Drosophila melanogaster: one gene and its partners. The protein of the gene in region 4 interacts with the protein of the main gene of each other region in a pairwise test. Each region holds a gene or a part of one and is shown on either strand. Other genes may lie near its edges. The genes, in order: RhoBTB, St3, CG14464 and CG3081.

Region 1 (8,011 bases), on a different chromosome or scaffold from region 4:
CATACATACATGTCTTAGGTAAAGGTACAAATATATGGATATACACATGTCTGCGTCCTTCGGCTGTCCACATTCCATGGGAGGGATCGTGCAGAACAAGTTGAGTGTACACCGATATATCGTAAGGCAATACAGCGAAATGCTTCGCAGCGCCGAGGTGCATGTGCATACATACTCGTCTATGCTTTGCGTTTTATATAGGCGTATAAATATAAGAAATCCGAAGCACTCTGCAGTATGCTCCCTTGTTCTGGGTCGAGCTACGTTGGACTTATTAATCGTTAATCACTAAGGCAAATTTGCGCTCTATATATTGCGTAATGTCAAAAGCAGACGCGCCACGCCCCCTCCATTTCCAACCCTTATCTCCCCGACCACTCTAAATCGTGCCCTTGAGGTTTGTTATGTATGGATTTGGAAAAGTATCAAAATACTTAAAATCGTACAGATAAAACAGATCAGGACCGGCAGGATCACAATGAAGCGCAGTGATCTGGAATCAAAGTATCGAAGTAAATCATAAATATCGAAGAATCCTTACTTTGACATTAATATCAACACACCTTCCTTGCCCTAGGGCTGGGTGTCAGAGATTCAGGTCCATGTCCGCCTCCAGATCAATGTGGTTGAGCGAGTTGCCGGCGCTGTTGAAGATCTGATTATCTGCGTTGCTGTTATCCGTGGTTCCACTCACATCAGCGCTTCGCTTCGATTTACCTAACAGCCAGCAAGAGAATACTTTGACCAAATTTCGGACATTAATATTATGATGATGGCGTTGTCGTTGTAAATGAGCAAGGAAATCAACAGGAAAGGAAAACAATAACGAGACACCTAGCTACGAATACAAACCGCCGTCATGATACATACATTGTCCTCTAAAGCTAGCTGAAACTAAAACCTGAGCTGATCCTCCGACTGGAGTATTGGACTGGGATGTTAAGTGTGGTGGGATGTGGAGCAGATAGTTCCGTAAATGTAGCAACACTTACCGCCCGTAAAGCACAGACAGCCCTCGTCATCGCTAGGCGATTCCCGCCTCGAAGTCTTTAGCTTAAGCTCCTTGTTCAGCTCGTTCAGGCATCGCTGATAGTAATCATAGTCTTTCAGATACCAGACTGGAGGCCATCGGTGCTCGCGCAAGTACTCCTGATTATCCTGGTGTAGCGCCTTTAGGCCCTTGAGTGAAAACTTACAAATAAGGTTGTAATTGACGCACAGGTATGACATGCACCACTCGGCCAATTGATGTGCGTTGTGCAGCTGAAAAAAAAAGAAAAGTATTGAATTTCGGTATATCATTTTTAACTGATCTCTCTATGTGTACCTTCACTGGCTCGAGCAGCTTTAGACAGTGATCCACCGTTTCATTGGTTTCGTTCTGAGAAATCAGAGTGAGATCTTCAATAACGCGGCATTCAACCAGGTTGAGCAGCCGCGGCAGGCAGAGTCTATTGGCCAGCTCCAGCAGATTGAGGCACTTGACGGCCGAGATTGGCGGAATCTGGTCTGTGTACAAATAGCACAGCAGCTTGTGGAATGTGTAAATGGTAACGCCAGGGAATACGATCTAAGGTAAAGGAAATTTATGACAACTGTCCTTAGTTAAGGGGTATTGTGCCCGTTCCTACCACATTGGAATGAGCCTCGCGAAAGTCGCCTAACAACATTGCGCGCATGACATCACAACGACCAACCAACACAGCGCGGTGTGCCTGCAATGCAGCAAAGGTAAGTGTAAACGATTGTGCTTCATATAGTAATTCAACAGACATATGTATGTACCTTCATTAAGCCATCGTCCAATTCAAAGGTGACATCACTGAAGCACCCGTCACCAATGCAATGCCGTTCCATGCTTTCTTTGATGCGCTAATGTATGTAACAGAAAATGGTTAGGATCATAAAATAGATATCATGACATCAATGCGCTCACCAGGCAAATGTGCGGATTTGGCTCATCGCTGGAGTTCTCCATAACGGTTTGAGGCCTGGAAAGTAGCTGAGTCAGTTGCGGCAGTTCTAATAGATCGGCAGCTTCTCGAATTTCCTGTGAGAATTAACAATATATTAGTAGGTCAAACTTAACACAGAATACATTGAAACATTTCCTACCTCGATATTATCGCAATCCTTGTCAATGGTACCGGTATAAATAAATCTCAGGCACTGGTGCAGAGCTTGCGGAGAGATAAGTTTGCTAAGGGTGACAATCGTCTGCAGACCATTTACACCCCGATGGTTTTCCACGTGCACCAGGCGAATGCTCTGCAGGACCGGATGATGCAGCTCCCTGTACAAATCGTTGGACCGCTTAGACTCCATGAGAGGCAACGCCTGGTAGCTGGAGCGGCGCTTCAAGTGTTCCCACATTCTGTGGGTGCAAAATGTATTCAAAGTCAAATGGGCTCAATGCAATCGGGAGGCAGCACCCACCGTTGTGTGCGTGATTCGTAGCGGATCAGGGCCTCCGTGTCATCGTTAAAGTCCGCAATGGTGGCCTCCCCGAATGTTGAGCTGACCATGCTAGATTCGCTGCTGCTCCGCCCGCCCATATCAGTCAGCTCAGTGCTAAGCAGGCGCTGGAAGATGCTGGACGCGGCGGCTAGCATGAACCTGTGCACGGCGAACTTGGTGCCACCCGCCCCGACCAGGACGAGGTCGGTGTAGGCCTGCGACAGGAACATGTTGTAGATGTCCTGCCGATAGTTGCCGACCATGACGGTGACCTCCGGTGGTGGTGGCTTCGGTGGCCGGAACGGCGCCTGCAGCAGGGGCTTCTGCACCTTCTTCAGGTTTGTCATCCAGAAGCGCTGCTGTCGGCGTGCAATCAACGCGGATCGGATGGCGTTTTCAAACACCTCGTTCACCCCAAAGTATGTGAAAACACTGGTCTCGTAGTACGCCACTCCTAGCTCTTTGGCGACGGCACGCGCCTCATCCGGCATAACCAGGTCACTCTTCAACGCGGCTCTTTAAAAAAAGATTATAGTAATGATTGCCTTTAATTTAATCCAATTAAATAGAATATCTCTGAACATATAAACAGATTAATTTGCTATAGTGGGCTAAACATTGAATTATATCTTTCGTGTGTTCTAAATATAATTAAATTATGGTGAATAATTGAATTGATTTGATTAAAGAACAACATTAAAAAGTGAAAGCCACTCAAAACCGGCTGAAACCTGCTAGCTATGCATACCGAACAAAGGTTCCCTTCTCGCCGAAATACGAGAGATAGTTCTCGTCGCGATACATGTAGCGCAGGTCGTTCTTGCAGCCAACTAGAATGACGGGAACATCCGGACAAAAGCGGCGAATTTCCGGATACCACATCATCTTGCAGTTGCGCAGGGAAATCGGACTGGCAATGGAAAAGCACAGCAGCACCACATCGGATCTGTAGGTCAAGAAGGCATCTTATTGATTCGTATGGCGAAAATGCTGCTACATGAGCTCTACACACCTGCCGTATGCGAAGCGCCGATCCTTGTCGTGGTCACCAAATGTGTCCCATAGGCGAAGTGAGACATTCACTCCATCGACCACCTCCCATGATCGCTCGAGTACCTTTAATGTATATGGATTCGGTTAAATGCAATAACTATGACTCTTGAGAGAATGGTAACCCACATCCTTATATATGCGATACTGGTCAATGGCCCACACGGTCGGCACGTGCGTAGAGAGGAGCTGAGATAGCGAGACGTGTTTGTTGCAGGCCCTCGCGCAGATCAGTCGCGTCTTGCCCACGGCCGTGTCCCCCACCAGGACGCACTTCACTAGCTCTTGATGCGGCTGCTCGTTGTCCATTTTGGGCATGCACAAATAGCAGAACCAGCTTATGGAATCTGAAATGAAAATAGTATTGGATTTTTGTGTGATTTAATAAAATGTGGTCTCTCCTGAGGAAAACATACATAAATGAAAATATTGAAAATAAAATAAACTGCTGACACCCCTTCTAATATAAATAAGTGAACTACGTAGAATAGCTGCCTTAATGTTTTTCAGTTCTGATAAGCAGATGCTAAATTCTCGACTAACAATCGACCTGCTAATTACTAAGTTACACAAAGTGTCGTCTGCATTAACGTTTTGTGTGAAGGCAAAATGGTTTCATCACGTGATTAATTTGATTTTAATCTAGATACCTAAGTGCTTCCCAAAATAGAAATACATAGTTTGAAATAATCTACGCACTGGGAAAATTCACTTCTACGTTCAGTTATACGTAAAGCCAGAATAACTGATCTACGCCAATAGGCAATTTTGTTTGTTTACTCGCTGCGCACTGTGAAAATAACTATAGTGAAATCAGATACCAGCTTCGTATCATTTACTTAGAAATCTATTGGATCCCGCAAACGGAGGCTATAAAACCAGCCAATTCATTGACCCCCACTTGATCCACTTGTCGCGGAGGAAGTTGGAGTAAGTACCTCGGATACGGAGCGATAAGCTCGCTCTCTCTCTTTGAACCTCTAATTGAACTTAATTGGGCTGCACTAAAAATATATCTGCCTTCAATCCTCCGGTCGCAATGAGCACACTTCTTCCTGCGTGGCCCACGCTTCATGGCAATCCATTGTCCGATCTTCTCGACGAGCTGCAGTCTGTCTATTTTGGGACGCGCTTTAAACCCAAAACAATAACCATGCAATTGAAAGTACTTCAAGTGGTCGCCAGAAGCGATCGTTGTTCTCCACAGGAAAGTCTTTTGTTCGTGCGAAGACTTTAAGTTACTGTCAATATTGTGGATCGTTGACCTCTGGAATACATGGCAATCGGTTCCACTTTTGCTTTGATTTTCTATAATTTATGTGTTCAATCTATTTAGAGCCATTTGAATTGACTTTATGAAGGTTAAAGAGGGAAGAATATTCTTCAAATATTGAAAAATTAATGTCTGATATAACTACTATAAAATACCGTTTTTATTTTTATTATTTCCTTGTAGAAATATTTTTAAAATATATTATTTAAGTGCCCAGTCTTAAGCAAAGTGAAGCAAAAACAAAGAAACAAAGAAAGAAGACGTTGTGAAGGTAAACAACTGTTAGTTTTTGAAGATATCAGGTATTTTGAAAATGGAAAGATCGTATTTTTTAGTTTTTAAAAGGTATGTTCTTAGTTTTCATTGTAAAATATTTGCACCAACCATAATCTTGGGAAATAAAAACAAAGTTTATTTAGGGACTGGTTCCAATTTATTTCTCATGCGAGGTGTGAACCTGTGGTTTAATTAGACATTTTGATTCGCGAGAATTCGCAGAACACGCCAGCATATTAGCATTATTAACAAACTCTGCGCTGTTTTGCCATGTCTGGGAAGTCTCCTTTCTTCAATTTTGCCAGCTTATTGATTTTCTCGTGCCATTGCAAAACGGCCACAAATACCGTTACCAAACCACACACACATTCAGACTCGCACACAAGGAGGCACAGAAGGGACTTTTAGGAGGGGATCTTGAAGTTCGGACTCGACATTCCGGCAAACTTGACCCATTTAGGGGAGAAAAATCGTTGAACACTTGCACTTTTTCTCGAGGAAAACGCATGTTGGTGGGTAAACAATTAAAACCTGATTAGAACCTAATTCTTCGACTGCTGGCCGAAGGGGAGAGCACAGAATTCCCGAACTCATAAATCTCCGCGGACGTAGCACTGCAGCACTCACCTCTGAAAACGCCTGATCCCACGGATTGCACGAATTGCACGGATTTGCCTCAATGTTCTTACTTTTGCGTATTGCACTTATCAACACGCACACCAAAGCACGGCATTTTACAACAATTTGCATTTATTTCTGCACCCACACACCGATGGCGACGCAGTTTGTGGTTCGCAAACACGCGAAATCTTTACGGCTGGCACAAGTTTAACATCGCTGCGAGCTGGTTGCCGACGGATGGCTGCGGATGAGCCAGTGCTCGCTGACCAGGTGCACTATAAATGAAATTAAAAAATAATAAATTGCAGTTACAGCCCGCAATTCTTCTACGCGCTTTGACGGCAACCGGCCAGTGTTGGAAAACGGCGGCGGTTGGGCGCGGAGCACTGCCAGATTGACGGAGAACGGGAATTCACGGAATATTTATTTTTATAATGACTGTTATCAGGGTTGCCCAATATTTATTGTATGGTCGTTGGAAAAATTTCAAGCATTTGAAATACATTTTGAAATCGCCATCTATCCTAGGTAAGGTGAATATGCAGCTTACTTTAGTCCAAAGTTACATTAGAACTATTAAAAATCATCACTTTAAACTTATTAAGTCTTTCGTATTTGAAAATATGGCCTACCACTTTGTAAAATTTCTCCAATTGGGAATTTCAAATCTGGAACCACTCACAAAATAAACGATCTGGCAACATATTAAACTAGTTCTGCGTGCGCGGTGAGTTGGCAGCTCTGCGAACAGATGATTGTTTGCTATTTTAGTTGTTGCGAAACTAGTTAGAATTTATTTTTCGGTCCAAAAAGCGATTAAAATTGATTGAACGTGTAACCGACCGGCTTGGAAATCTACTCCTCCCACTCTAAGATTTCTTGTGCGCGCTACGTAAAGCCGGAGTAGCGTCGTCAAGAGTATTTCACAAACTCAATGTATCTTACGTGCAGAAAATCGATTTTTGCCTTAACAGCGGTTTTTGGTCGACGGTTGGCAGCAATTAAACAAATTTCCGCTAACGGGCACCACTAAATCGCATTTATTTCGCACAGGTCAAGTGCGTTGAGGGCCAGCATTTCAGTAACACATCGAACGATTGGCACGCTTATAAAACCCAAGATGACAATAGCCGAAAGCTCGCAAAAGTCCGCAACTAGGAAGCCAGACAGCATGGAGCCCATATTGAGGTAAGTGCACGTTACGCATCTTAGAGGTCGTCGAAAGGCAATGGTTCGTCGTTTATAGGCTGAACAACATTGAAAAGTCGCTGCAGGACACACGCGACTACCGCGGATTGCAACTAGAAAATGGACTAAAGGTCCTGCTCATCAGCGATCCCAACACAGATGTCTCGGCGGCAGCGCTGTCCGTGCAAGTGGGGTAAATAAGATCAAATCTTCACTCAATGTTTGTTTTTAATGAGTATACCCATGGCAGCCACATGTCTGATCCCACGAACCTGCCTGGATTGGCCCACTTTTGCGAGCACATGCTGTTCCTCGGCACCGAGAAGTATCCGCATGAGAATGGCTACACCACATACCTTTCGCAGAGCGGCGGAAGCAGCAACGCCGCCACCTATCCCCTGATGACCAAGTACCACTTTCACGTGGCGCCGGACAAGTTAGATGGAGCCTTAGATCGCTTCGCGCAGTTCTTCATAGCCCCCTTGTTCACGCCCAGTGCAACTGAGCGGGAAATCAATGCGGTATGTGAAAGCATTCATTAAAATTTCTGACAGAAATAGGACGCTGTCATTGCAGGTAAACTCTGAGCACGAGAAAAACCTGCCCAGCGATCTGTGGCGCATCAAGCAGGTGAACCGCCACCTGGCAAAGCCTGACCATGCCTACAGCAAGTTCGGCAGCGGCAACAAGACCACCCTATCCGAAATACCCAAGTCCAAGAACATTGATGTGCGGGATGAGCTGCTAAAGTTTCACAAGCAGTGGTACTCCGCCAACATAATGTGCCTGGCTGTCATTGGAAAAGGTTTGTTTTAGTATAGCCGTTTCTGCCAGCAAGTAATCAATCTCTGACAGAATCGCTGGACGAACTGGAGGGCATGGTATTGGAGAAGTTCTCCGAAATAGAGAACAAAAACGTCAAGGTTCCAGGTTGGCCACGCCACCCCTACGCCGAGGAGCGCTATGGACAAAAGGTGAAAATAGTGCCTATCAAAGACATCCGATCGCTGACGATAAGCTTTACCACAGACGATTTGACGCAGTTCTACAAGTCAGGCGTAAGTTTAAGGTACCACTGCGCTGTGGCTACGGATCAATCAGAGGATTCCTTTCTGGCCAGCCCACTGAACCTCTTGTTTAATTATA
Region 2 (6,806 bases), on a different chromosome or scaffold from region 4:
TCCGGCTTCGCGAGCCCCTTCTCCTGGAGCCTCCGCTTGATGAGCGCCCGCACCTGGTCGAAGAAGCGCTCGTTGAGGTTGACACCTGGTCCCAGGTCCATGGCCAAGCCCGCTGGCAGGTGGTTGCTGCTGCTGGACGCCACATATCCCAAGCTTATGGCTAGCAGCGCCACGAACAGGAGACGCGACATTTTCTGGAAGTCCTGCGATTTTCTTCACCCAAAACAACGGCGACTCGGTTCTGGCTTCTATCACTCGATTTTCCTCACTGCCAACATCTGTTGGCGGTGTCTATATGTCGAGCTGGCAATAGATTAACTGACTCTGCTCCAGACACACACACACACACACACTCGCACACGCACTCCCACGCTGTTCGATTTTCGCTTTCACTGCGACGCCTGCGCCTTGGTCCTGCACAGTGGGGCAAATCATCGAACATAGTCAGTCCAGTGGAAAATTCATTCCAATGAGATCATTTCTTTATCTTACAAGACAGTTCAAAAAGGTTGCACTCTAGTCTCGAATAAATTTATTAAAAAAGTGCTAGGAACGTATAAATATAAATATTATTAAATTTAACATCTTATGGTTTCTTTTAATGTAACTTAAAAACGTGCAGAACTAGTCGTTTCGGTTTCACTGTGGCCCTGCCACAAGCCGTCGTGAATTGGAAAGCCTATATTGATTTTCCAACAGCAGCGCGGAAACAGTGCGTGCGAAAAGTAACGCGACACTTGGTACTTTTTAGTCAGCGCGAGGTGCGATAACAACGAGGGAGACTAGCCCATCTCCACTAGAGTATTTTTGGAGGCTGAGCAGGAGGCTCCAAGTGGGTATCCTCCTGGAATAATTTTCGTTTGGCTTGCGGAGGCGTTTGGTCGGCAGTCAGTGTGTTTGACGTCACAGCGAGCTGTGTTGTTGGTGAGGGGGCGTGGCGGGGGCAAAGTCCGGAGCGGCTTCATCCTACGCCCCCCAATCCCAGTTCGGCTGGGTCCAAATATAACCGGTATCCGTCATCGAGCAGTAGGCATTGTAGTAGCGTCCCGGCGAGCTGGGAAATGCGAAAGTAATTGCATAAAACCGAATCGGGGGAAGCAAATCTAATTCGGTTTCGGTTTCCCCCGTCGCATTGCATTCCGGGCACTCGGCCGGAAACGGAAACTTACCGGCAGTAGGAGAACTGGGGGCACTTGCAGCGGAAGAGGCTCTGGAACTCCTCCTTACACACCTCGTTCCACCAGCAGGTGCGCTAGAATGCATTGGAAACGAAAGGGTTATCTCGCTGCCACTATGTACCACCTGTTATCCTTTGGGGCACCTCGGTCATGTAGCCGTGGACACTCTGATCCGAGTAGCTTCGCTTCGAGAGATGCGCCTGCACGGGGCAGAAGAGCAGTGTCACCACCAGAAGCAACAGTCGTGACGTCACGGGCAGCGAGTGGGGGGCGAACTGTAATGCAGCGAAGAAAGTGAAACCCAATCCGACATATAACCCCAAAGTGCCTCCGAAAGCACTACTACAACTACTTTCCACTGCATACTCGTGAACACCTTTAGGAGCTAGGAGTTGCACTCCTGTGATTTTTGTTTATTTTTGGAGCTCACCATCGTACAGCTTCCTCTGTTGACGTCTTGACTTATCCTCCGCTCCCAAAGTACAGTGAACACTTCACGTCCTGCGATGAATGTCGCCTGTTTTCCGTTTTTGGCCTCCCTTTGGGGCGGTGGCGTCGGCATCTCGGCATCTCGGCTGCCTTGCATAAGCATAAGTATTGGCCCCGTTCGCCCTCGGCTTTCAGCTTTCACTACTTTCACACGCACACACAGCCATCGAGTGCATGCACTGCTGCACTGGTGTTGGTGTGCTTTTGGCCCATTTCGAAGGGTGATTGCCTCACTGTTTGTTTGGCTGTGTTGGGTACACAATCCACTACAGGGCCAGTCCCTAAAATGTTAGGAACAGAAAACATATATGAGATTGTATGAAAATGTACCATTTTAACAGGTGCAGCAAATGAAAAGAAGATACTTGTTTGTAACTAGCTGAACTTGTACTTGCATCACTGGTAAATTAGATATGAACACTAGAGGGCGGCACTTTGTTTTTGATATAGTATATGTTCGCGATGATATATTTTAAGAAGTAAAACTTTATGATTGATGAGCTACTAATTCAAGCAAATTGCTGGTATAATTTTCAAAACAATGCTTGAAAATTCCTTTGTTTTGAGCGACGTCATCTCTTTCGTCTGATAGAAAACGCACGCGACATGACTCAGCAGAGGAAAAGCGAGAAATAAGAAAAAGTGGCAGATGCTTAAAATAGTTCATAAAGTCATTTAGTGGCCAAAGTATTTTTATATTAGCCGCGTCAAATCAACACTCTCAACAGGTAGAAAATTATGAAAATTCCTATATATCTAAAGAGTAAAGGGGGCGTAAAAGTGTCGAGAAATTCTTCTGGCATTTTCCAGAACACATTTTGCACTTTGGATTTTCGGTTTTCGAAAAAATATTATACAGAATAGAATTTGCATACAAACTGCGGGAATTTGTGTAGGCTTGCTTTTTAATACTCTGCATACATACATATGTGTGTTGCTTCTGGAACAAACAATCGGAAACACTATCATTTGAACTCCGAAAAAGGCCTGTCTGAGCAGTGACTAATGGAATCTTCTTTGGGTCACCATCATCGTAATCACAGGCTGAGTCTGAGTCTTCAAATCCCACGACTCCCACGGTAACAAACAAAACAGGCTGAAATCGCTCGCAGATTCGCACCAAAGATATGTGTTTGGCATATATAGGTTCAGAATGTTCTCTAGAATGACGCTCGTTTAAATTTAGATGGGAAATAAATTTTCATATTTTTAGCCCGTGGGGGAAGATGTAAACAATCTGTTGAGGGTATAAAATCGTGTGAGTGCTCGAGGAGCTCCATCAAAATCGCAGCAGCCGCGAATCGAAGCAGACGCGTTTATCCAAGTGAATTGAATCTAAAAAGGTACGAGGAAGGACCAAGCCAACGCGGAATTTATTGAACAGTGAAGAAGTGAAGTGATTAGCTCACTATCGTCTCGTTTCTTGATCAAAGCAGATGTCCGTAGTGCCACTGATGTTCCGTGACTGGTGGGATGAGCTCGACTTTCCAATGCGCACCTCGCGCCTCTTGGACCAGCACTTCGGTCAGGGACTGAAGAGGGATGACCTCATGTCCTCCGTGTGGAACTCCCGCCCCACAGTGCTGCGATCGGGATACCTGCGCCCCTGGCACACGAACAGCCTGCAGAAGCAGGAGTCCGGTTCCACCCTCAACATCGACAGCGAGAAGTTCGAGGTCATTCTGGATGTGCAGCAGTTCTCGCCATCCGAGATCACCGTCAAGGTGGCCGACAAGTTCGTCATCGTGGAGGGAAAGCATGAGGAGAAGCAGGACGAGCACGGATATGTCTCCCGCCAGTTCTCCAGACGCTACCAGCTGCCAAGTGAGTCCGAATTCCATCAACAAAATAGGAAGTATGCTAAACGTGTATGATCCTTCCACTAGGTGATGTCAACCCCGACACGGTCACATCGTCCCTCTCCTCCGATGGCCTGCTGACCATCAAGGCGCCAATGAAGGCGCTGCCTCCTCCGCAGACTGAACGCCTTGTGCAGATCACACAGACTGGTCCCTCCTCCAAGGAGGACAACGCCAAGAAGGTGGAGACCTCCACCGCCTAGGACTCAATCCTTTTGTACCGCCTTCAGTGTTAGTTAGTTTATGTCTACGTGTGCCTTATATATTGGACTCTACATATTTTATATCAATTAAAACGAATCTTTAGATAAACATTTGAAGAACAAGGTGTTTGGTAGGTCAAACAGCTTGACCTTGCTTTATTTGCTCTCCTCTCTCGCTGTTATTTACTTCCGAGCTAAACCAAAAGATACAACATTATCTTGATTATTCTCAATATGTATCTTACTGATCTTTCAGGAGCAGTAGTTCGTCCAAAGTCACACCGTTCTTCGCAAGAACCTCTTGTATCCGGACATTGGCCTTCTCAATTTGTTCGGGCTTCAATTCGTCCTTGTAGCCATTGACATCCCCACGTCTCACGAATCTAGAGGATTACAAGTGAATGGTTGTTCGGAAAACTATGGGACTTTCTCTTACGGGTGCATTTCTTTCCCAGCATTTTCGTGTTGAACTTGGGCCAACTCCCACAGATGATTCGTGGTGGGATTTTCTGAAAAGAAAATTCGTTTAGCTCAATAAGATCATTGTTTCGGCATAGGCTTCTTGCATACTCTTCATTTCCGCGAAGGACAAATGCTTTAGCAGTTTCTCCATTTGCTGATCGTTGATGGGTTTATTCAGAAATCTGGAGACATCGTTGATCACTCCTCGCAGATCTTTCTTCATCATTTCAAAGCTGGTGTAGAATACCCAAGGCTCGTTCCTCAGTTGGTAGAACTCGTGGGCGTGTTCAATGAACTCCGTGGGGAAATCATCAGAGGCCAGCACCTCATCGAAGTACTGGTGCAGTGACTTCCCGTAATTGAAACCAAAAGATACTCCGTGATAATATCGGGAGACATAGGAGTCCAGGGGGTTACGGGACACATAGATCACTTTGTTTTTTCCCTCCCAAAGTTTTGATGGGAGGAGGGCAAGCGAAAGGTGGGATTTTATCAGTCGCGGGGACTTCAGGTCCTCGATAGGCCCGAATGAGCGGTTCGGGTCGTGAAAAACGGAGTAACCGAACCTGACGAAGACATGGAGGTTTAAGTATATACATATGTATGCCCACGTATACGGATACACTCACTCGAGAAACGGAGTTCGCAGCTCCTGATCCTTGGCCAACGCCCCCTCGAAATCGCAGTTGTTGAGGAGCAACCAGAGCAGTTCCTGCATCCAAGTGGTTCCGCATTTCGGTAGAGTTACGATCCAGACATCGTCATCCCTGAGCTTCATATCGTGGACTAAGCGAAGAAAGTTCTCCGAATCTTTCGTATAAAAAAGCTTTCGATTTCCCCAGTCCTTATCGATAAGGTTCGTGGGATAGCTCCGCGGCGTGACCTGAACCCGATTCATAGCGACAGCGTACTGAGCTTTTGTGGGGAATGAAGTGGAGTATATTACTGGTTGGGTAACTATTTAAGAGAAATTTCTCAGTTTCGCCTCTCTCAGTTCTCTCTTCGCACTACGATGATAAGATTGCACTGTAGTTAATGGGACGCATCTTTCATTTCGGTTGATAATAGCAATGAAAACAAGCCCAGCCAAGATATATGTAGATGCACTTCTTTTTAATAAAGTAGGTCAGATGAGCGGAAAGCTTTGTATTTTTTTATCAAAGAAAGTAGCTTAAAAACTAGATATAAACATATATATGGTATTTATAATGTTACTTGTTTATTAGACTGTAACTGCTGGTAATGATAATATGCCACATAATGCGGTCATAGTAGATAATGGAGTGCCAACCACGGGAACGTAAACAATTCGCTCATAAAATAATTAAGTTACATACAGTATACGGGAAGCAATTATTTATTAAACATATATGTACATATATCATCACAGCTTAAAGACTATTAACGAAGATTACCCAAGAAACACTTTAGCGAAGACAATTAGAGAGAATTACGTGGACGCAAACTTGCTGTAGTTGGCAAAGTCATCCATGTTCAATTTGAAGTCCCGCAGATTACTATCGGACCAGAGATCGAATTCCCGTATGATGTCGGCGGTGAGCTCATCCTTGTGGCTGCCCACGACTCCGCGTCGAACGAACCTGCGAGGAAGATTGGTCTGATTAGCCTGCTCCTGGAGAGCACATGATCCAAAGACTTACCTGAACTCCTCCACCTCCCTGCCGGCAGCCGCCTTCATGCTCTCGAACTCCTTGACGTGGTTGCAGGCGGGATTGTCGCGCATGCTCTCGAAGGAGAGGTGTCGCTGCATCTGCTGCATCTGCTCCTGGCTGACACTGCGCTCCAGGAACTGGGCCACCTCCGAGATAACCTGGCCCAGCTGGCCCTTCATCCGCTCGTAGCTGGTGAAGAAGATGTTGGGCTCGTGGCGCAGCTGCCAAAAGTCCAGGATGTGCGGCCAGCAGGGCGTGAAGTTCACATAGCCGTCGATGAAGGAGTGCATAAAGTCCGACTTGGTGCCCTGGTAGCCCACCATTCCACGCCAGTGGTGGAAGTACGAGATGGCCGCGTCCTTTGGGTTGCGGTACACATAGATGATCTTGGGCCTCTTGCTCCAGATCTGCCTCGGCAGCATCCAGGCGGGCAGATGGGACTTGATCAGGCGCGGCGATGGTAGGGCATTCGCTGCGGCGATGGTGTCGTGTGGCACATTGGGAACCACGCCATTGAATCTGGAGAGGATTGTTGGTTGATTAGTATCCTTCACTTAGCTATGCTGATGACTTGGGAACGCACTCAAGGAAGGGCGATCGATGCGTGAGATCCACGCTCTTGGCCGTCTCAAAATCACACTCATTGATCACCAGCCAGGCCAGCTCCTGCATCCAGGTGGTGCCGCATTTCGGAAGCGTGACAATCCACACGTCGTCGTCCCGCACCTCAAAGTCGTACACCCGATCCAGGACCGGCTGGAAAGTGTCCGCCAGGCGGCAGAAACGCTGCTCCCAGTTCCCGACCACCGGCACCGACGGCTTGCTGCTGGCGAAGATCGAGGAGTAGCCGCCACTGATGGCCAGCTTGTCGATCTGCTCGAAGGGCACGCTCTTGGCAAAGAAGCTCGACTGGGGCATCTTCGATATGGGGTGGCTAGGTGG
Region 3 (3,828 bases), on a different chromosome or scaffold from region 4:
TTTTTTATACACATTTGTTTTTTATTATTTTTAAAAATATTTTCGAAAGCTTTAATGTGTATTTTGCAAATATTAAAAAATAAATCAGATGGTGCCTTTAATTTCCCAAAGTCGGATTCTATTGAGTAGTTTTTCTCATGTATAAAAAGCTCTGATGGAGCTGTTAAATGCTCGATTTCTTTTAAAATTACCGATCTGCATTTATCGCAACAACAAGTCACATCAAAGACACTAGAATTATTCTAGTGTCTTTGTTTTGGTCATATCTTGAGGCACGAAGTGCGGACACAAGCATTCAACAATCATTGCCTTATTAATTTTTCACACGCCTCAAGATGAATACTCTAATGACCAATATTCTTACATAAAGTCATTTTTGAAATTTATTTTTGTGATAATATGTACATAGATTTGGCTATTTCTATTCTATTTTCAAATAATAATAACGTTAAGGCAATGCAAAACAAGAATTTTTCGCATGGTGCCAATTGATCAAAAATAATATAGATTTAAAGTCAAAGAACTTTGAAGGTGAAGGGCATATTTTGTCAAATTTACAATGCATGAGCATATGTGTGCACACATACAGTTGTCTGCTATCCCTGTATGCGCTCTCTCGCTCTCGAACAAAAATTCGAGAGAGCCTGGAGCCACCTCTAGAGCCACGGCGAAAAAATCGTGTGCCAAAAAATCGTATGGCGTTACGCATCTTGTTATTCTAGTGTCTTTTGTTCACCGGTGACGGTGAGATTTTATACTTCACCGGACCAGCGTGCACATTTCCCTTAATTTCATCACGGTACTATTGGCGCTTTTCGTCGGGTTCTCCTGTGGGTTGTATGAAGCCGTTAGATTGTGTCGCTCCCCAGCTCCTATACGCTTGAAGCTCTTGAACGCCTTGCTTATTAACTTAACTCCGTGTTCGGTTATCAGCACCTTTGGCACGACGTACTATTCTACTATCTCTTGCAAGCGGTCCTATGCAGAGGACAATCTCGCACCATTTCGCGAATCGAACCGCCCTATTTTGATCTTTCACCTTTGTATAACTGTTTTTACAGTCGACTAATTATTATACCATCAAAAATGTACTTATACTTATACGGTAGCAATAATAAAAGTGTATAACAATTGATAAAGCACGCAAAATAAGTACAAGTACAATAAGTCTTCACCATAGCTGCTGAAGAATTTACTTTATTTTTGGAATCATTTCCTTTCAATTAGCACATAATGTATTTTTCTGAAGCAATAACTTTGTTAAGAATTGTTATATGTGATGTATTTCGTCTGAATGATAGTTTAATGCTCGTTTGGCTGTTCATTAATACTTATATTAAGTTACAAATATTTAATTAATACATGTGATTTGCTTAACTTTATCTTGGTATATATTTATTTTGAATATTTAAATCTTTACCGTCATATGTTATGTCCTCATAAAAAAACTTTCGATTCGAGCGACATTGGGGACCACACCTGGTAGAGCCACAACTTCGGCAATTATACCAGCAACCATCACATTCTTGATTCATACAGTCGCCTGAATTACGTGTTTTATTAATAACAACCACGTAAGGAGTGATTTGTACTTACATATGTCCAGACCGTTTGAGCGAATATTTCCGTATTCATCATATGCGCTATTTTGACATTTCTTTCTGCCTTTTTTTTTATTTTCGGAATCTAAATAATTTGAGTATTCGTTAGAAACTCCTTTTTTTCTATGTCTCTGACGCAAATTGCGACTGATGGAATAATCTGAATCTAAATACGGCTTCATATCTTGGCGAGAATTTGTTATACTAAAGTGCATGGCCTCCTTTCAAAAATCAATTTAACCCACGCTATTGGTGTCCACTAATAGTGTGCACACACTGCCATATTATTATTTATAGGGTCTTTACACTGCACTTGTGCTTCTGATTATGCCACGTTATGTCACTGACTTAATCAATTATAATTACAGTATATTCGTTAGATTATTCTGCCTCAACATTTAACTGGACATTAAGATAACTGCGCAATCATATTTTTTTGAATAACCAAAATCTATTTTGTTTGAAAAATATTAATTTAATTAAAAACTTTATAAGGGCAAAGAACGTTATTCAAAAATTGATATCAGATTATTTGAAGTAAATAAGTATTTTAAGTAATAGGAATCGCATCATATATTGAGGTTGTTTTAGGAACAGCATTCGGGGATACCTGAAGCAACAGAAATCAATTAATTATATCAGCAAACGTACCAAGCATATCAAAATACCAAACCAACCATTTAAACTACATGCGACTGTGTCCTTAATTTTTATACCCGTTACTCGTAAAGTAGAAGGATATCCTAGATTTACTAAAAGCTTGTAACAGGCACAAGGAAGCGTTTCCGACCATTTAGAGTATATATTGTACATACATATGTACATATATTCTATTGAAGTCGATTCGAGATGGGCATGTCCGTCTGCCGATGAACGTCTTGATTTCAGGCGCTATAAAAGGTAGAAAGTTGAGATTAAGAATATAGATTCTAGAGACATAGACTCAGCGCAAAGTTTGTTGCCACTCCAACGCCCATTAACAGCTCAAAACTGCCACGCCTACACTTTTGCAAAATGCTTTGATATTTATTTACATTTTTATTAATTTCTATTGATTTGCCAAAAAACTTATTGCCGCGCCCACTCTGAAGCCCTTAAACCTCCCGAAAACTGCCACCTGCACATTTTTTGGGATATTTCTTCATAATTTTATAAGTCTTGTAATTTTCAATGGATTGGCCAAATATGTTTATGCTGAAAATATTTATGCACTCAAACTCCCTAAAACAGACCAAAACTGCCACGCCCAAATTTTTAAATTTTTTATAATTTTGTATACAGTGCCGCGTTTGTTTAAATTTAATTAGTCTTGTAATTTTCTAATTTCGCCGACATTTTTGAAAAATAGTTGGATTTTTTTCATAATTTAAGAAGTCTTTTTCTATTGGTCGATTATTGGATCCTATGTCTTGTAACATGTACTGAAAATGTTTTTTTTGTCCGGAACCGAAAGATCAATATCATCATAATTTCGAGATGACAATCGACATAATACCATAATAAAAGAGAAATCAGAGCAGCAAACCAAAAGAATTCATTGTTTTCGCAAGACTAATGCCTCAAACTGAACCAAACTGTCACACCCATACTTTTGAAAAATGTGTTGATATTTTTTCACATTTTTATTATACTTGTAAATCTAATCTATTTGCAAAAACACTTTTACGCACTAGCTGAATAACGGGTATCTGATGGTCGGGGAACTCGAGTATAGCATTCCCTCTTGATTTTAAGCTCTTGTGTTCCGATTTACTTTCCGTCCATCTCTCACAAGACTCTTTAGTTTACGAAAGAATTGACAGACCTAAGAAATGTAAAGTTCAGCCTTCATACAAAATTTAAAAATAACGGTCTATCCTTTTAAAATCGGTAAAATTTTACTGTGCTCAATGCTCAGTGTTAGATTAACTAATGTACTGTACGTTCCAGTTCGCGAAACAATTTCTAACCGTTCTCGCTATTTTTTTTAAATACCACGGTACCATCGGATCAGGCATTTGAAAAGTTTTTTCAAACGAAGTGTTCCAAGTTACCTCATTCCGAACATCCATACTCTTAAACGGTGCCAAATGTAAGTGTCCCATTCTAAACGAATGCTAACTGCTCTACGATCTTTAACGAGTTAAGCCTGTCTATTTATTGTGATTCCTCTCCATTAAAAAGGTAACCAATTGGATTCAAGGAATTACAGTGAAATCTCTAAATTGTCGGATATCCCTAAGCTTTT
Region 4 (4,403 bases):
GTGGAACACCCACTGCAGCACCCATCGATCAAGGCCTCAATCAAGTGGTGACACTCGGAGCGCTCCGAGTATCGAGTTACCAGCGAAGGTCCATTTGCATTCCTTAATTGAAATTCGTACGCGTGGGAAGACCACGCAGCCTGAAAGCTTTGAATCTCCCAAAGTTGGATGTTGCTCCATGTTTTTTTTTTTTTTTGGAAGAGATGATCTTCCATTTAACAGATTTCACTTCTCATATTCATATTCAATTATGCCACATAGTAGTTCAATCCAATTCAATTGCAGGCATATTGCCGGGCTCACTTGCTCCTGTGCCCGCTTAGGGCTGGCTAATCCTTCTGATAAATGGTCCGGGCTTTGGATGAGATGCAGTGGCTCGTTTTTTAGCGCGCGCAGAGATGTTGGAAATTTTTAGAAAGGCAAACACAAACAAGGCATTAAGTGGCATTAGACAAATGCCTTTCTACACATGTTCCAGCGTAGAGATTACGCCGTGTAATTGGCCCCACCTCCATTCGCCCGGGGTGGGTTCCGGTTTTCGATTGACATTTGGCCACGGCTGCGGGGTGGGCTACTGCTCTGCTCTGCTCTGCTCCTTCTACAATTTTTTTTTTTTTTTTTGTTCTTTCTTTTTATCAATTGCCTTGTTTGCGCTGGGACCATAAATAAGGGCATTACTCGCAGGGGGCGTGCGCGTTTTCCTAACAGGTGTCTATCGACTCCTGGCTAATCCCATGCCCATGCCCATGCCCAGCTCCCTGACATCGAGTTCCTTACTTACTCGTTCGTTGCAGTTCGAAGGCCGATTCCAGTCGAAGCGTCTCAACAACTGGGAATATCCGCGATTCTCACCACCCCGCCCACGTGGTCTGCAGAAGAACGCCAAGGTTGTGGCGGCCAATAACGGTCACCTGCTGCCCGAAGTGATAAAGTAAGCAATTGCCAATGCCCCACAATTATACAGTTTAATTTTAATCCACAGGGAGGGCAACTCATTTGGCCAATATCGTGGAACCTACGAGCTACCGCGTCGAATAACCCGTGCCTTTTGCGCCCACTACGATGCCTGTCTGAGTGGGCGGTACAAGTTTGTTGACTTTCCGCGTGACCTGTGCAATTGTCAGCGAGAGAACCGCAGGGCACTGGCCTGCGATCAGCGGTTGACCTTGGGCCACAAGGACGATCCCTACTGGATGCGCGAACGGTGCCAGACGAAGTGCGAGGGACTACAGAAGCTGAGGGCGTTGAGCGAGCGGAGTGCGCGCTGCAATCGGGCCAAGTGCGACGTGGTGGTGAGTGGGAATCGGGGTCACCATCGGGGTCACCATCGGTGTCACCTCTTACCAATTATGTGCACCCAGATTATTGAGTTATCTGCAACCAAGCTATACATATTTTCATTTCTGGTTGCACTTTTTGCACTTTCATCCTGCACCCTGCACACTCACATTCACATTCACCTGCAACCGTAGAGCGAGAAAACCGTGAAGATGACGCCGAAGGCAATCAAGACGACGGGTGTGGCCACCGAAAAGCGGCGTCGAAAGCGCACCATAACCGCCTTTTCCAAAGGACGAACGGCATTGCATCCCAATGAGCTGACCAAGCCGATTCCATCGTCGGAGAAACCGGCGGCGACTGTCGCCACTCCCAAGGACAAGCCGAAGGACAAGCCAAAGGACAAGGAGGCGGGCAAGAAGGATAAGACGAAGGATAAGGGCAAGGAGAAAGAGCGCAAGGCGGCGAAGGGCCATTAGTAAAACTTCATTATTTTGTTCAACCGAAATTCAAATCAAATTCATTGTAACCGCAGGTTTAAAATACATTTTAAAGGGCAGCACGATTGCACTCAACACAAATCATATAGCATATATATTTTATAACTAAACCCAGGTTAAACCATCTGTTACATATGTACATAAATCATACATCATTATCATCTCCATCTCCATCTCCATCTTATCTCATCCCATTCCATTCTGCACCACCAACGCATTGCAACAAGTGAACGAACCTGAAAGCCACCTACTCCATTACTCCATCCAATCATGTCGCAAACAGCTCTCCCGGAACTGAGCTACACGCCGGGCGACCTAACAGAGCCGCAGTTCCGGCTGCCCTCGCACCAGGAGCTCCTCGACCAGAAACGCAACAGCACGGACAGCGTGCCACTTGGTCGTCTCACCTTGGACACGCGCGACACGCAGCCCATCAAGTACAGGGAGCAGCTGGGCTCGGCGGCCGGTCGTCAATTTCCGGCATTGGCAGCGGCCCAAAATCGCTATACGGATCACTTGGAGCGCAGCAGCGAGTTGAGCTTTGCGTGCCTGGAGCCGGGCAAGGATCTAATCTCATTGCCGACGGTGGGTATACGAAGCTTTGATCTCGATCCCGTATCCGTATCCGAACCCGATTTGATCAAGAAGATGCCGCTGCACTCGATCACGGAGAAGCCCAACGAGCGGTGTCCATCGCCAGTGGTGCCGGCATATGCCAATTTCGAGCTGGCCAAACGGATGCACCAGGACAATTTGGACCACCAGCCGCTGCCCGATTGCGTCGCCGATTTGGCATTCCGGCGAGCGCAAATATCCGGCGGACATGCTGGCCTGGCCCTGGAAATCGATCCCATTGCCACGGGCGTGGGTGTGAAAACGCACAATGCTGGTCCGACGCACTGCACCAAGATGAAGGTCTTTCGTCCGAAGACCGGCGGTGGCATCGTGCCACGTGCCCTCGGCAATGGCGATGCCTTTCGAGGTGTTGGCTCCGCTCCGGCCAAAAAGATGGGACCCATGGATTTGGCCATTTGTTGGGACTTCAAGCCGGCGAATCCATCGGATGAGCCGCGCCTGGCCAGGCACATAGATGGCTCCAATGACTCCGCTGGACCGGCTGTCTTCACCTGCGTGAAAACGCCTCGCGAGGAACAGTCCTCGGACTTGGGCCGATCGGCTGGCGTCTTCACCAGCACGCTTGGTGAGGCCGATTTCTTCGACAAGGACATCCTGAGGAAGCGAACGGATTTTGGCGGTGCCCGTGTGGATCGCGAGGATCCGTGCGCCTGCGACTACTCGCCACCGGCCAGACAAAGAGCACGCAGTGTCTCCCGCGATTCCAGTGCATCGCATTGCAGGCGAGGATCGGGCATCGGCGGTCCAACTGGCGGTGTGAGTTTCGGCAATTTGGCGGAGCTACCCGGTCGCGGGATGCCCGATCGTCTAGCCAAGCAGTATCAATCGTCACCCCTGCTGGGCGACAAAGCCTACCAGGCTTTGAGGGAGAAATATTTGGGTCCGGACTCTGGACAGGATTGCAGGGCCATGGATTGCCGGCCAACGGGTGGTCCACCATGCAAGCGAGACGTTCTCCTCCGGCGTCCAGCTCGACGTCTCTGCCACAAGGTGGCTCCAGCTCCCAGATGCTGTCCCCCATCGTTCGGCGGACATGGTCATCACCATGGACATGGACACGGACACGGACATTGCTTGACCAGTAAGGCGGCATTTCGCGCCGGAGTGCCCAAGCATAATGCCTCCGGTGATTTCGTGGGAATAGAACCGGGCTGCGGAGGAGGTGGCGGTGGCGGTGGTAGGGTTCTGGTGGTGCCACGCCCCCGGCAGCCGTATGCCAAAAAGAATTACGACATCGAAACCCTGGTGCCGCCCTTCCAAAGCCAAGCGGGCGGAGCGGGTCAGGGCGGCTATCCAGAGCACTGGCGATTGGCCAGTGTCTATCAGCACGCCTACAAGCCCATCGACCAGCGGCGGCGACCCCTTCTCCAAACTGTCTACAAGTAGGTGTGCTCCAGGATGGCAGTCCGCTCAAGAGAGAAATGTCCGGACAAACGGGATAATGAATAATTGAAAGCTATACAAAAATGTCCATAAGCTAAGCAAGTATATTAACTTATCAACTTAAATGTTTGCTAGTCATTAGCATTAAATTGATGCATCTGTACACACAAATTAGTCGGAAAAATCGGTCCAAGAATAGGAAATCACACGTTTATGTATAAAAAAACAAATGTTATATATATTAGAAAGCATATATATATATATATATAAAGATATATGGGCAAACATACATACATACATATATGAATAAACGTGCAAACATCAAGTAACTTAAAACTATAAACAGTGTGCAAATTAATTTGCAGAGTTCGCTTGAAAAATTAAGAAAAAAAACTTGATTAAAAACTAGGTGATGATGTGGTTTTCAGATGAAATAAGGTTTCCTTTCCTTTTTTCGCTGGTCTTGTGTGACAATCTTTGGGTGCAATTAAAAACTTAACTAGGTGCTGAAAAATCGAATTGAAAAGAAGTCAATTGGGTCAATTCAACAAGGGGAAGGCGCATTTCAAAAATAATAACAAATAAATTTAAATGCTTTCGGTTACA

Evidence for each region.
Region 1: the proteins of CG3081 (region 4) and RhoBTB interact in a two-hybrid assay, tested with the Drosophila melanogaster proteins (one large-scale study listed by BioGRID).
Region 2: the proteins of CG3081 (region 4) and St3 interact in a two-hybrid assay, tested with the Drosophila melanogaster proteins (one large-scale study listed by BioGRID).
Region 3: the proteins of CG3081 (region 4) and CG14464 interact in a two-hybrid assay, tested with the Drosophila melanogaster proteins (one large-scale study listed by BioGRID).

Annotation. Positions count from the first base shown.
Region 1 is NT_037436.4:20,374,274-20,382,284, reverse strand, and holds the start of RhoBTB (Rho-related BTB domain containing), read right to left. Parts: upstream 6,044-8,011; 5' UTR 5,684-6,043; intron 4,544-5,683; exon of another isoform or gene 4,446-4,543; intron 3,855-4,445; 5' UTR 3,826-3,854; coding exon 3,637-3,825; intron 3,574-3,636; coding exon 3,470-3,573; intron 3,404-3,469; coding exon 3,206-3,403; intron 2,974-3,205; coding exon 2,437-2,973; intron 2,375-2,436; coding exon 2,116-2,374; intron 2,051-2,115; coding exon 1,937-2,050; intron 1,873-1,936; coding exon 1,786-1,872; intron 1,716-1,785; coding exon 1,632-1,715; intron 1,571-1,631; coding exon 1,328-1,570; intron 1,264-1,327; coding exon 993-1,263; intron 739-992; coding exon 587-738; coding exon of another isoform or gene 564-586; intron 494-563; coding exon of another isoform or gene 403-493; 3' UTR 1-402. Other genes in the region: Ide (insulin degrading metalloproteinase), read left to right, coding at 6,798-6,865, 6,924-7,058, 7,116-7,386, 7,442-7,670, 7,721-7,923.
Region 2 is NT_033778.4:23,681,680-23,688,485, reverse strand, and holds St3 (sulfotransferase 3), read right to left. Parts: upstream 5,110-6,806; 5' UTR 5,090-5,109; coding exon 4,821-5,089; intron 4,758-4,820; coding exon 4,300-4,757; intron 4,239-4,299; coding exon 4,166-4,238; intron 4,113-4,165; coding exon 3,975-4,112; coding exon of another isoform or gene 3,971-3,974; exon of another isoform or gene 3,924-3,970; coding exon of another isoform or gene 3,866-3,923; exon of another isoform or gene 3,730-3,865; coding exon of another isoform or gene 3,554-3,729; intron 3,492-3,553; coding exon of another isoform or gene 3,104-3,491; exon of another isoform or gene 3,101-3,103; intron 3,011-3,100; exon of another isoform or gene 2,943-3,010; intron 1,949-2,942; coding exon 1,609-1,948; intron 1,454-1,608; coding exon 1,322-1,453; intron 1,253-1,321; coding exon 1,170-1,252; intron 1,055-1,169; coding exon 967-1,054; 3' UTR 506-966; downstream 1-505. Other genes in the region: Pal2 (Peptidyl-alpha-hydroxyglycine-alpha-amidating lyase 2), read right to left, coding at 1-191; l(2)efl (lethal (2) essential for life), read left to right, coding at 3,104-3,491, 3,554-3,729; St1 (sulfotransferase 1), read right to left, coding at 5,642-5,792, 5,853-6,383, 6,448-6,782.
Region 3 is NT_033778.4:4,827,262-4,831,089, reverse strand, and holds CG14464 (uncharacterized protein), read right to left. Parts: upstream 1,845-3,828; 5' UTR 1,784-1,844; coding exon 1,597-1,783; intron 1,544-1,596; coding exon 1,380-1,543; 3' UTR 503-1,379; downstream 1-502.
Region 4 is NC_004354.4:4,638,722-4,643,124, reverse strand, and holds CG3081 (uncharacterized protein), read left to right. Parts: upstream 1-1,962; 5' UTR 1,963-2,048; coding exon 2,049-3,800; 3' UTR 3,801-3,866; downstream 3,867-4,403. Other genes in the region: CG3062 (uncharacterized protein), read left to right, coding at 795-931, 983-1,292, 1,473-1,757.